Linked DNA regions of Nothobranchius furzeri. The protein of the gene in region 1 binds, or shares a complex with, the protein of each later gene. Links are inferred from orthologs where the notes say so. Each region holds a gene or a part of one and is shown in the gene's direction. Other genes may lie near its edges.

Evidence for each region.
Region 2: cep290 (region 1) and tmem107l share a complex: the UniProt entries of both Homo sapiens proteins name them as parts of the tectonic-like complex. The link is inferred for Nothobranchius furzeri from reciprocal best matches to the Homo sapiens genes CEP290 and TMEM107.
Region 3: cep290 (region 1) and b9d2 share a complex: the UniProt entries of both Homo sapiens proteins name them as parts of the tectonic-like complex. The link is inferred for Nothobranchius furzeri from reciprocal best matches to the Homo sapiens genes CEP290 and B9D2.
Region 4: cep290 (region 1) and ahi1 share a complex: the UniProt entries of both Homo sapiens proteins name them as parts of the tectonic-like complex. The link is inferred for Nothobranchius furzeri from reciprocal best matches to the Homo sapiens genes CEP290 and AHI1.

Annotation. Positions count from the first base shown.
Region 1 is NC_091744.1:50,606,358-50,608,829, forward strand, and holds the end of cep290 (centrosomal protein of 290 kDa), read left to right. Parts: intron 1-214; coding exon 215-288; intron 289-984; coding exon 985-1,028; intron 1,029-1,489; exon of another isoform or gene 1,490-1,519; coding exon 1,520-1,764; 3' UTR 1,765-1,972; downstream 1,973-2,472. Other genes in the region: rlig1 (RNA ligase 1), read right to left, coding at 2,127-2,300, 2,438-2,472. UniProt on the Homo sapiens protein: Involved in early and late steps in cilia formation. Its association with CCP110 is required for inhibition of primary cilia formation by CCP110.
Region 2 is NC_091745.1:78,310,947-78,314,964, reverse strand, and holds the start of tmem107l (transmembrane protein 107), read left to right. Parts: upstream 1-1,218; 5' UTR 1,219-1,525; coding exon 1,526-1,612; intron 1,613-3,245; coding exon 3,246-3,313; intron 3,314-3,386; coding exon 3,387-3,487; intron 3,488-4,018. UniProt on the Homo sapiens protein: Plays a role in cilia formation and embryonic patterning. Requires for normal Sonic hedgehog (Shh) signaling in the neural tube and acts in combination with GLI2 and GLI3 to pattern ventral and intermediate neuronal cell types.
Region 3 is NC_091743.1:62,503,167-62,506,041, reverse strand, and holds b9d2 (B9 domain-containing protein 2), read left to right. Parts: upstream 1-1,253; 5' UTR 1,254-1,691; coding exon 1,692-2,219; 3' UTR 2,220-2,375; downstream 2,376-2,875. Other genes in the region: poc1a (POC1 centriolar protein homolog A), read right to left, coding at 146-325, 526-697, 828-912, 2,560-2,574. UniProt on the Homo sapiens protein: Component of the tectonic-like complex, a complex localized at the transition zone of primary cilia and acting as a barrier that prevents diffusion of transmembrane proteins between the cilia and plasma membranes.
Region 4 is NC_091758.1:20,121,040-20,124,998, forward strand, and holds the start of ahi1 (jouberin), read left to right. Parts: upstream 1-1,159; 5' UTR 1,160-1,577; coding exon 1,578-1,584; intron 1,585-2,281; coding exon 2,282-2,391; intron 2,392-2,613; coding exon 2,614-3,185; intron 3,186-3,278; coding exon 3,279-3,364; intron 3,365-3,438; coding exon 3,439-3,625; intron 3,626-3,754; coding exon 3,755-3,947; intron 3,948-3,959. UniProt on the Homo sapiens protein: Involved in vesicle trafficking and required for ciliogenesis, formation of primary non-motile cilium, and recruitment of RAB8A to the basal body of primary cilium.

The DNA of each region.
Region 1 (2,472 bases):
CAGAGACTAAAGAAACTTCCAGGACAGCAGATGTGAATATTAAAGTCTTCCAGTAGCAACTGTGTAGGTTCCACCACTTCCTGCTTCTGTTTTCTGTCCCCAGTCTCAGGGTCTGAACGTAAAAACATGAACTGATGACATGTGGTTAGCGTGACCAACAGGTGTTGAATATTTAACAGAGTGGTGCATGAGTGTCACTGATGTGTTCCTTCAGGTTGACGTGTTAAAAAGGTTTCCTGCTTTAAAGGCTGATGCAGGTGCCTCCAGTGGGGTCCAGACTACTACCAGGTACGTTAGGCCACCACTTTCTACTCATTATTAGAACTGAACATTTATTTAGCAGGTATTCTGTCTTGTCCAATCATGTTAAAGCCTCTGAAACGAGGGGAGGTTGTCAAAAATGACTTTAGTTTCCAACAATTTTATGCTGCCGTTTTGTTGTCTGCACTTCCGCTCCATCTGACTTTAGATTTTACTGTGGAAACGTACAGATAGGGCTGGACAATTATATATATATATATATATATATATAACCAATAGACATGTGGTTCAATAGAAAACAAATGGATCAATAAAATGTTCCTTTTTCCATTACAGCCTATTGGATAGCTTCATACTAGTCACTACTTACACCCAGCCAATCCCCTCTCAAACCTAAACAGACAGCAGTGTGATTTATACAAGATGTTGCAGCAAGGAGAGGAGGAAGAAATTGTCCCAAAATAGATTAAAGTACTTAACCAAACAAACAAACAAACAATGGTGGTTTGCAACACAGAATTGATAAAAACAAGTCTGGTAATGCAACCAACGTGTTTTAACATGAAGTAATGGCCTAAGATGGCCAGGGGCCCAGGGCTGCGCGTAAAATGTATTTTTGACATTTTTATCGATGAGCTTGTTGTCTATATTGTCCAGCCCTACGTTCAGAACTTATAACTTTAAATTCTGGAGATCCTGACTGTAGCTACGATCTGTCTGAAGGCTGAAGAGCGCTGAGCCAGACGGGGAGACGGCTTCCTCATCAGGTGAGAGAGTCAGCCCTTCCTTCAGCATGAACCAGTGGAGGCTTTGGGTTTTTATTGTTTATGTTTAGTTTTTAACACTAGCTACTCGTTTCTGGTTCCACGATTCTCTGTAGCTCATTTCATCGATGGGTTTAAGCTTCTGATGAGAGAAAATAGCGATGCACTGGAAAAGTGTTTTTTTATTGAGCACTTTCATGCAAATGTTAACTATTTATTTTGTGTAGTGCAATTCACACTCTGACTGCTAGGTGGCAGCAGGGTTTACCGCCTTTATCCTGATGGAACGAGATCACGGGGTAACTCTTGAGTCTTAGAAGCGTTTTTAATTCAGACTTAAAAATATTGTCTGACTTTTGGCGTCACAATGCATCAAACCACTGGATACTTGCCAGTTCACACTCCTAGTGAGTATTTTAAAGCACTGTAGTTTAATTGTATACAGAAAATAAACCTGTCAGTGGTGGATGTTGCATCATTAGTTTTATTTTCAGATTACAGAAAAGTGAACACCCTCCTGCAGGCAGCAGAAACGGAGAAGAGCAGCCTTCAAGCGGAGGTCAGGAGGTTGAAGAAGGAGCTGGAGAGCTTTGACCCAACACTCTTGGACGAGCTGGAGGATCTGAAGTATAACTACAACCTGGAGGTGAAGAAGAACATCCTGCTGGAGGAGCAGCTGAAGAAGGTGTGTGACCAGTTTGGGGTCCAGGCTGAGATGCCCAGCGTGTCCATCAGTTAACTGAGGGTCTGGCACACTAACGTAGGTTAAAACGCAGCCCTTATCCTGTTTGTTCCACAATAAAACAATGAGGGTTTAATATTAAACTGGTTCTTTTATGTTTTCTATACAGCAGCTTTTGTCTTTTCTTAACTCGTAGGTTTACAGTCATTTCTCATGTAACGTATTTATAAGTGTGTCAATAAAGGAACTGCCTTAATCTGTCAAATCTGCCATTTACTCTTCACACAAAGATTTTCTCACCCAGCTGGCAAGTCCTTCAGGTCGGAGCTTGTAGGACGGGGACACCTCGTCCCTTAAAGACCACTCTCATGAGACTTCTGGTTCCTCAAGTGTCAGGTTCAGCAGAGCGAATACCCCGGTTACGACTCTAACTGGACATCCTGAAGCCGTCTGAAGCTGTGTCCATTTAGAGCTGAAAGAGCTGTGAACAAGGTGTTGGTGGAGCTGTAGGCATCGACCCGAACCACCACCGACCTGCTGGAGAGGTGGGTGTCCCCAACTGGCCACCGGAGACCCAGGTGGTGACGATGAACCTGCACACACACACACACACACACACACATCTGTGTAGATAAGTTGTTTTAGATGGAACCACTCAGCTCCTCCGTACACTCAAATGTAAATTATTGGTTTGAATGCGTCAGTCTGACGGCACATAGAGACTCCACACCTTGACAAGGGTGCCGTCCTTACAGTGCCACACGA
Region 2 (4,018 bases), on another chromosome or scaffold:
AAAAGCATGATGAAAATCAGTTTCCGTGGACGTGGTGGCTCTTTTCCATCACTGCAGCTAGAGGGCGCAGCATCCCGTTTCTATGACAACCAGCATCATCTCTGTCTTTTCGTGTGCACGGCCCAACGCCTCTCGTGCTATTTTCTAACATATTTAAATTAGTCCAACAGTAAAAAAATCAAACGCATCAACTTCAGCTTCCACGTTTTAAATGTTGTTTTGTTGTTATTTACACAGTGCCAGAGCTTTACTGTGACGCTGATATCATGTCTCCAAACGGAATTAGCACGCTCCATCATCACAGCTGGACACATCTGTATGCAGATGGCTTCATATCTGAAACATGGGGGGAAATCCGCTAAAACATCCAGACTGAAACTGCACAAATGGCTGAAGTGACTAATAAAGCCAGCGTCATACTCACGTTGATGCGAACCAGCGCGTCCATGATAGAAGTAAAGGTTTGGAACTCCGACTCGGCCATGATGCTTTCTCGATTTAAGCGACTCAAAAGGATCTCCTGGAGAAAACCCCGGCTGGTTGTCTTCTTCTCCTGGCCGCGAGGCAAAGCCCGGGCCTTGGCTGGTGCCGCTCCGCTGCTCACGCACGCTGGATCGGTTCAGTCTGCCTCGGGGGAAGAGTCCACTGGTGGGATGGGGGTGGGAAATCTCTGGCTCAGACCATCTAACAGAAACACATTCGTTTCTTATTGCGCTGTTTTGTTTTACAGGCACGTTTATCCTGCCAATTCCAATTAAACATGCGGTTGTTGTTTGTCTTTTTAAAAATAAAACCGTTTTATCCAACAGCGAACGGATCTGGTGGCCCTTTCTATTTCTTTCATTTTGTCTTGTTTTTTTTTTCGGGGAACCTGAATTTTCGGGTAGTTTTAAGCATTTTTATGATAAAAATGAAAAGACATCAGGTGTTACCATCAGATCGCAGTATTGATGAATAAAAAAAGCAAATAAATAAACAAATAAATAATAAATAAATAAATAAATAAATATCCAGCTACACGTCAAGCTACACCTCTTTTACTAACTCTGACCAGGAAAAATGAAACGCGCTGACTACCCACCGTTACTAAATAAGATGTTTGGGTTTCTCTGTTTTATATTATTTACTGCTGATTAAAAACTCTTTTACGTGACGCGTTCATGGTCAACGCGGAACCGTTTAGGTGTTCGTTTTTTTGTCCGGTCATTAAAACCGTATGCACATTGTCCGTGGTTGTTGTAGCAACCGTTAGTTGCGTCACAACGTGAAGTTTTTGGCTCTGTTAACGAACGAGACACAAAACTAAGCTATAGACTTCGCGAGTTTTTAAACAAACAAATGAATCAGCTGGTTTATGTCATTAGCCGCAAGATAAACAGATGCTAAAGTGTTCGTTTAAAGTTAGCACATTTAGCTACATGCTAGCCTAGCTTACTGAGTGGTTTCCGTCGCAGTAAACAAAAACCTTTTACTCTTTTTTTTACTCACGAGCTTTTAGAGTTTTACTTTGCTGATTAGGATCACCATGTCGGCCATCAGCAGCCTTGTTCCTGCTCGGTTTCTCACCATCACAGCTCATCTTGTCATTGTTATCACCATCTTTTGGTCAAGGGTAAGAAAAAAATGGTTTATCTTTAATCTGATTTCTTGTGCCTGATTTTATTTTCATAATGGAGAAAACTTTATGGGATTTTAGATCTGTGGTTTTATTAGACGTTGCTGTTATATGAAATACCACAAAGGTGAACACACAAACACATTGTTAGAAATTCTGCTTAAACATCAAAGGTAATTAAAACATATTCCTTGTTGTGTTATAAAACGTCATTTAAGTTCCAGGAAGTGTCCTCATTGACCCCTAACCAGCATGTTCTGGTTGTTTCCCTGCCCAAACACACCTGATTCAATGGTTGAGTCACCTGTTTAGCATGATTAGGTCTGCAGAAGCTGTTAATCACCTCTAGGGTTGTCACGGTGTGAAAATTTAACCTCACGGTTATTGTGACCAAAATTATCACGGTTTTCGGTATTATCGTGGTATTGTTTTAAACGTGTTACATTTTCAGGAAACTAAATAAACCCTGTATATCAGGAAAATATTGTCCTCAGTTTGTGTCTAAATTTTGCCTAAAATGTGTTATTTTGTAATTATGTTGTTTATTTGTTTACATATTTCCCCTTAAGTCTTTAAAATACCAATATTTGCCCATAACTTTTCTTATTTTATGTCTGTTTGATGTCATCATTTTAAAAATATTAGACCAGATGATACTCAGTACTCAAGTAGCCTTCTAATCAGATACTTTTTACCCTTACTTGAGTAATAAACCCTATATCAGGAAAATATTGTCCTCGGTTTGTGTCCTTCCAGTGAGCTTTGCAGATGTGGGAAAATGGCATCAGGCAGTAATCGTTGTTAAATTCATAATTATTCTCGGAGAGAGACCAACTCTTATCTGCCCCTGGGAGCCCCGTAATGCATAGCGTCATTTCAACATGGCGGTGTCCGCGACACGGTTTATATGCAGGTAGCGGCGCTGCGGCTGCTTTATATAGCGACTCGTTGCGTTCTCCCTCAACCCAAATCCTCGGATCACGCATTTTAGCTAAAGCGCTAACGTTAGCTTGCCTTGCGTTGACTGTAGAGTTGTGGGTGATGGTCACGCAGATGTGTCATGAGATTTGAAGCGTTGCTGCCTTTCACAGACACTTTTTCTGCTCGTGCTGCAAACAGGATAGCCGTCTTCTATCAGCTTTCCCTCGGCATTCTTCTGGTATAAAAAAATGCCCGTACTTCTGACTTTGTCTTCTTAGAGCGATAATAAATGTCCTGAGTGCTGCCGTCTCCTCCTTTGTCCGTTATTTCAGCTTTAGCTTCAAGAAAGTTTTGGTTGTAAACAACAAAGTGCGCATGTGCCGCCGGCAACTTCAGCAGATGATACGGTGGCTGGTAAGGGTCACCGCGCCTACACCGCAGCCACGGTAATCCACCGAGATAATATAGTTTTTAAAAAAACAAGACGGTTATTATTATTGTCAACTTTTTTACCGGGGTTTACCGCTACACCGGTTACCGTGACAACCCTAATCACCTCTTGGTTAAAAACAGCAGAGCAGAGAAACCACTGAAACATGCTGGATAGGGGCCCTCGAGGTGCAGGGATGGACACCACTGCTCTACGGTCAACATCACATCCAGATTATTCAGCCCTTGAAATAATTTGCAATTGTTTTTCTTTTTATAGGAAAATAATGTAAAAGCATGTTTACCACTGGATTTCACACCAGAGCAGTATGATACCGAAGACAAAAAGTGAGTAGATATGTATGTAACACACTCGTATTATCAGGTTCTCGGATTAAATGATCTCTTTTGTTCCCTCCAGGCTGGTGGTGGCGCTGGCAGTCACACTTGGTCTGTTTGTAATCGAGCTGGCTGGCTTCTTTTCAGGAGTGTCTATGTTCAACAGCACTCAGGGTCTCCTGTGTATCCTTTACTCATCCTTAATGAAATATATATATATATATATATATATATATATATATATATATATATATATATATATATACATATATGACCTTTAATATTCAACAGTAAAGCGACTTCTGGTTAAGGCTGTAACACAAAGAACACGCAGCAGCAGCAGCTAGTGGATAACTAGCTTAGCTCTCTCCCACTTGGTCGGTTCTCTCTAAAAGACAAACGGAATAGCTGAATAAAACCCAAATTACTATAAAATAAAGGTTTGTTATAGGTTAAAGAGTAAGGATGAGTGAATTTGTTATTAAAAAGCTAGTCACTCCCAAATTAACTTTTTTTTTTGCTGATTAACTATATAAATGAGTGTCAATAGTTTTGCTAAGAAATACACACACACACACAGGCTCACAACGACACTGTGACATCATATGGTACCAGCTAACGTTCTAGGGTACCTCTTAGCCAATAGCGATGGCAGATTTAAATTCAAATGCAGTGCAGAGTTTTTACCTGACAACGGCACGACACTGACAGTTT
Region 3 (2,875 bases), on another chromosome or scaffold:
AGGAAAAGTGTAAAAAAAAAAGGTGAAAACTTGACATCACATATTAAATTTTTTAAACACTTGTACAACACTTTACTCATCATTACAAATATCACAGGGAAACTTGCATGGTGTGGTATTAAATGGGAGTGTGTGTGTTTCATACTTGGCACAGCGGACCCAGTTGATGTGCTGGTTAAGAGAGAAGAGGAACTTCTGCCTGTGGACCGTCCACACTTTGATTGTTTTGTCATTAGACGCTGTGACCAGGCTCTGTCCATCACCGGAGAAGTTAACACAACGCACAGTGGCAGTGTGAGCCCTGAATTCAGTTGAATCAGCCTTCCTGCAAACACAAAAGGTATTATTCATACATAAAGCAGACAAACACACTGTTTATTCAGGGCGCTGGTATGATGAAATTAGAGTAATCAGCAGATCTTGTTCTTTTGCCTTTAGGAATCCACAGCTTTGTCTTGAGTGATAATTTCTGGAGAAACTTGATGAGAAGAAAACAACATAAAATGCTGCTACGTATAAACTTACATGCTGGGCACCCAGAGACGTACAGTTTTGTCTCTAGAGGCCGAGGCCACAAGGTGACCAGATGGAGAAAACTGGACAGAGTTTACAGCTTCTCTGTGTCCATCGAAACGATAAGCTCTCATCTGAGGCTTCAAGTTCCAGATCATCACACAAGAATCCATAGAGCCTGTGACTGAGAAAGGAGGAAGCACAAGCTGGTTGAAGCAAGAGATTGGTATTAACTACAATGTGCACACAACAAACTGGATAACAGGTGAATATATAGACGGACAAAGGCTCAGATCAAATAATAATAATATTACCAATTTGTTTCATGTTGCGGCTGAAGTCCACACTTGTCACGACGTCCCTGTGACCCTTGAAATTTCTCTCTAGGGTTGGATCAGACTATGATGAAATCAACAGAGATTTTCAATTATTTTACAAGTTTATGTTTGGAAATTATTTTTTCATTTGTTTTATGACCACTTTTGTTATTAAATGATATTTTCTTCTTTTTTGTATTTTATGTTTTATTTTTTATGTAATTTTCATTGAAGAACTTCATGATTTTCTTTTCTACAATAGGTTCTATATAAATAAATTTTACTTTCTTTAGTTATCCATTGAGTTATATAAAAGTTGCAAGATGAACAGTCATCAGGAAAAGCAGGAGAAAGCATATCTAAATAAATAGCTTTTTAGAATTTATAACCTTAAAAAATAAAGCACCATTGAGATGTAAACAATACATTAAAAAGTACAGTGCACTTCATTTGCCATCTTGTTGAACTTGCGCTGTTAAATAGTTATTCGGAAAAAAGTAAACCAGCGGTTCTTGTATACCCTTTATTCAGTCTTTCAGGTATGATTGTAATTTATGTAACAGCTGCTTCACGTCATTAATTAAATTGGTTAAAATTCGTAATTAGTTTACTAAATTAAAGGTTAAGTAATATTTTTTTAGCAAGAAGATATAAAAATGTGTCTCATTTGCCTTCAAAAATAGAACCAGCCCTAGACAGGAAGTGCTGCCTGACAGACTCTGCTCAGGGAGTGCTGTATTAAGAGCACACTATGGCAGGCTGGGTTACCAAGGAGACGTGAGCTGCGTTTGTTGCTCTGTAGCCTTTGATAAAAGCGGGCTCCGTGTGTCGCATGTTCTGGTTAAAGCGGACAGCTGTGAAATGGCAGAGCTTCACATTATAGGACAGATCATCGGGGCCAGCGGGTTTCCTCAAAAAAGCCTATTTTGCAAATGGGAAGTTCATACGGGGGGAGCATGGCGTCTTCTCTCGGGGCTGAAGGAGGGTCAGACTCAGGTGGATTCCCCCCACAGCGGAGAAATGGCTTACTGGAGCCACCCAATTGATCTGCACTATGCGACCAAAGGTCTCCAGGGCTGGCCGAAGCTTCATCTGCAAGTGTGGCACCAGGACTCATTCGGCCGCTACCAGCTGTACGGATACGGGTACTGCCACGTTCCCTCCAGCCCCGGACATCACCGCATAAGCTGTGTGACATGGAGGCCGCTCGGCTCCTGGCAAGAGCAGCTAGCACGAATATTTGTCGGCGGAGGCCCCCAGCTCCGCAACCCGGATCTGATTTACAGTGGAGCGGACAGATACAGACTGCACACCGAGGCCATGGGCACTGTGAATCTGGAGCTGGGCGTCATCATAAGACACTTTGACAAACATGGCGTCGAGAGCTGAGACGTCAAATAAGAATGTTGTATTGATTGTTTTCTTATAAAAAGTTTGTTTTGTCGCAAATGCCTTTGAAAAATTACACACGGCAAAGTTTTGTACATTTCTATGCTGATGTTTTTACACCTGAAATACAGCTATAAATAAACACTTATCATTGAAGTTGGTTTCTTATTCATCTACCGTTTACCATCAATCCAACTATACCTAATATTTCATATTTGTAACGTTATGAATATTTGAACATGTGTGTGTGTGTGTGTGCGTTAACCAAAACAAGTAGTCTACTACAAATCAGACACGAACTTCCTCAGTTGCTACAGTAACAAGTGCTAGCCAAACTCACCAGTGCAGAAGTCATTTTTCCCGGTATTTAGCACGTACACCCGAGTAAAGAGGCTCGTTGCTGCTTTGGCTATTATGACCGAAATACAATTGTTCTCAACTGTGGGTTTTGAAATGAACAGAGGGAGGAAAATATCGCTCCGGTAATTGGAATTGTTTTTTCTAATGCTAGCTGCTAACAACAGAGTTCAGTTTACGCGCCGTGATTGGGCGCTGAGCTGTTGGCCAGAGTCCTTAAAGGGGACGCTGGACATTAAAGGACGTTTGTGTCGAAAAAAGACTTCAATCAAATGTAAAAACGATGAATAACAAAATAA
Region 4 (3,959 bases), on another chromosome or scaffold:
CAAACTGCTCCTTCTTTTTGATACTTGGACGATCTATGATTGAATTACTCAAAGACTTTGGGTCATGTGAAAATGCTCATGCATCTAAATAGGAACTTTGGAAAATGAAAACAGAGATTTTAATGGAACATTTCTGCAGCTTTTCCTTTCATTTAAACAAAAATCCTTTTGCAGCTAATCTGGGCAGATCTCAGATCAGGGGTACCCAAAGTGCGGCCCTTAATGATTTTGTACATGGCTGTTACAGAAAATATATGGAGAATAAACTTAAAATGGAAAATAAATTAATAAACCCACGATTCTGATGGGTTTCACAAGGAAAACTCATGAGACGCCTTTAAAGTTTTATTGATCATTTTTTGCATAAATCTGAAATATTTTGGTATTTTCATTAATACGTTTTTATTTTTATTTTGAGCTAATCATCAAATAAGTGTGTTACTATTTGAATCCTATTTCATATTTCATATTTCAATCTCAGGTGTGTTCCTTAAGCAGGTACATTGAAGGTTTCTCTGAAAACTTCATTTACTTTTTGTTCAACATCTCCCCAAAATCTCTTCAAACGATCAAAAAGTCCTCTGAGCAACCTGGAGCAGCTCTCATAAAAGCCGTGATTCTTCACATGAAATGTTCTGACACTTGTGTCTGCTTCACCTGCAGGACTCACCTGTAAAGTCACAAGACTGTTATGTAATGCATAATTATAGTTTGTGTTAGGAATGTATATATAACTGTTCAGACACTTTACACATTTGTGCAAGTATCAAATAGAAAATCTATAGCTCAAGACAACTTGAATACTCTGACATGATAATTTTCTTAATTCATCCTTCACTGAAGTTACAAAGCTCGAAAAGTAAACCATGAATGTATGTGTTCTCCAACTTTTATCTTAATTAAAAATATAGCATTTTACGGGTAGAAACGTATAAGTAAATTTAATCCTGACTAATTTGTGGGAGAAAGAAGTGAGCCACACTGTTTGCTTTGAGCTCTTGCAATAAGTTAGGAAAATCCAAGTTTATGTTCGTCTTTGAACGCAGCATTTGGGGGGAGCTACACTCATTACGTGCTATAGCGTTCTCGTGTCCTTAAATTTCATTGGTTACATTTTTGTTTGTTTATCTACGTCGCTCCGCCCGTACGTTGTTGACTTGGAAACCATCACGGCGTTGTGCGGTAGAGGACAGTTTAAGCGTAACCCGCGTTCAAACAAGGAGTTTCAAGTAGAAAGCTCACATTAACTTATTAAAAACAATTATATGGTTATATTTTGGTTCAATAATGTATTTCAATAACAAAGATATAACTTTTTTAGGCGTAGTACGTGACCAGAGCAATTTAGCTAGCAACTAGCTAACTAGCTTCTGGTGAAATAGCTAACAAATATTATTAATAAAACATCTCGTGTGTCTCCGTTAAGCGGACACGTTCTAGTATCATTAAGTGAAACTTAATGCTCACTTTAGAGTCGCGAATGTGAGCTGCGACATTTTGCTTTGTATTTTAGATACGCTTTTTTCTGGATTATTGGCGTTTTTCCCTCAGAATGAGAAACAGCACGATGTTTGAAAATGCCAGGTGAGTGTTCAGCTGTCCTGAAGCGACTAAAGAACAATTTTTGTGAATAAATCAATTAAAAAATATATAGAAATTATTTAATAACTAGTAAACCAGTCAAATATCTTTCAGTGACCACCCAATCCAGAGATTAAAGTTTTACACTAAATAAAAAATATATATTAAGTGTTATTGTTAAATTAATATTAAAATCCTTTTAATTTATTACATTCTCTCAGATTATTTGATGTTGTTTTGTATTTTCATGGAAGTCAAACAAAACCAAAGCTGGCAGTAGCTCAGGAGGTAGGGCAGGTTGTCCAGCATCCAGAAGGTTGCAGGTTTGATCCCAGCTCCCGCCAGAGAATTGTGTCGTTGGGCAAGACACTTAACCCATCTTGTGGTGGTCGGAGAGACCGGTGGCGCCCGTGTTCAGCAGTCCCCCTTCTGTCAGTGCGCCCCAAGGCAACTGTGGCTACATTGTTGCTCATCATCACCAGCATGTGTATGTGTGTGTGTGAATGACTGATTGTGTTGTGGTGCGCCTTGGGGGGTTGTTGAACCCTAAGAAGGTGCCGTACTATTACAGGCCACTACCATATGTAATCAGTGTTTTTTTACAACCACTTACAAATTCAGCAAATGATTCTAAAGTGTTTATCTCAAGCAACTTTTGTAATCAAGAATTGTATAGATAACAAAAAATAAACATTTCCAGGTGTGAGTGAAGAGACCCGGGAAAGATTTAATGAAGTCTTCAAAAAATATTCAGGATCTGAGAAGAAAAAGTCAAAGAAGAAAATCCATGAAGCAAACGAGACCATAGTGGTAGGTGTTCTGACATGTGCTGTTTTCCACCCAGTGGTTGTCATCAAATGTTCTACATTCTGGCTGCAGTGTTGTATTCAAACTTGAGTTATTTATGAAATATAATTATAGAAAGCATCTGCAACAGAAGAATGTTCTATTTTCTTTAATGTGAACCAGTTCTAGCAATTTAAAATATTAATAAATCACATGTATTATTATTGTCGATCTCTTTTTTCAAAGCTTCAGAATCTGACCAGGAAGCTGAACCTTGAGAAAGACACAGAAGATGACGAAACCATTCTGCAAAACACATATGACCCTGAACAGGGCAGCCCTCGTTATTCCAAAAACAAACGAAGAGAAAAGGAAACAGCAGAACAGGTTAACTGTAACAACAGCAAGGATGAAGAAGTTAAAGCATCAAAAGCCAAAAGGAAGAGTAAGAGGGACCTCCCTTCTTTACCTGTACCCAAAGACATTCCAGAGGACTTACAGGAGGGGGCAAATGCTTCTAGAGCCGACAATACTTTGAATCCAGAAGCTGCTGTTGGTGAAAAGAAACGAAAAGGAAAAAGTAAGAAGGGAAAAGTCAGAGAAAATGTAGAAGATGTTGCAGAGAGTCCGGTGGAGGATCCAGAAGATAAACTACTGCATGAATACCAGCAGCAGATGGCACAGGAAGAGGAGCTGACTGTGAAGAAAACAAGGGTCAAACGGGAAACTGTTAACTCACAAAGTGCTGTGTTGAATAATGATATGGGGAAGAAGAAAAAGAAAAAGCTGAAATCTGTAACAACTGAGTCAGATGTAGGGTGTGTATTTCTCTCTAATTTTAGCTTTATTGTAGTTTTTGATATCAAGAATAAAGTTTAAGCAGCATTTTGACTTTTTTTTTCTTTAATCAGGGATCAAGATGAGGAAGTCAATCCAGATGCTGATGAGGAAAATAAAACTGAATCAAAGGGAAAGAAGAAAAAGAAGAAGAAGCACGGTAGTTTTTTAAAACAAAGTAATTTGTGTAACATAAAAAGAGATTTTGATGAGTTATTTTTCTCAACTTTTTAGTTGTCAAAGAAGAAAGTGAAGCTGAAGCAGCAGAGGAGCAAAAGCCGACATTTGATGACGGTCTTGTTCTGGGAGTGTTCGTTCATAAAACGGATCGCCTGAAGACGGACTTACTGATCTCGCACCCCATGGTGAAGATCCACGTTGTTGATGAGATCACGGGCAATTATGTGAAGAAAAGGGACTGGTGAGAAGAAGTTATCTCTGATCTTATGCTGCTACACCTATCAGCGTTAAAATATTTGGGCTACAGTTTAAAAAAATGTTTTCATGCTCAAACATTTAATTAAAAGTGAAATCTGTTTGTGTTTTGAAGCCATCGACCTGTGTCTTCCTATTATGAGGGACAGAACGTCGACCATATCCTCCCTATCATGACTCAGCCTTTTGACTTCAAGAAGAACAAATCCATCATCCCCGAGTGGCAAGAGCTAATCATATTCAACGAACGCTTTGGCTACTTTGTTGAGCAAAAGGATGAAAGCCCCAGAGTCATCCTCTTCTTTGAAGTGAGATATACT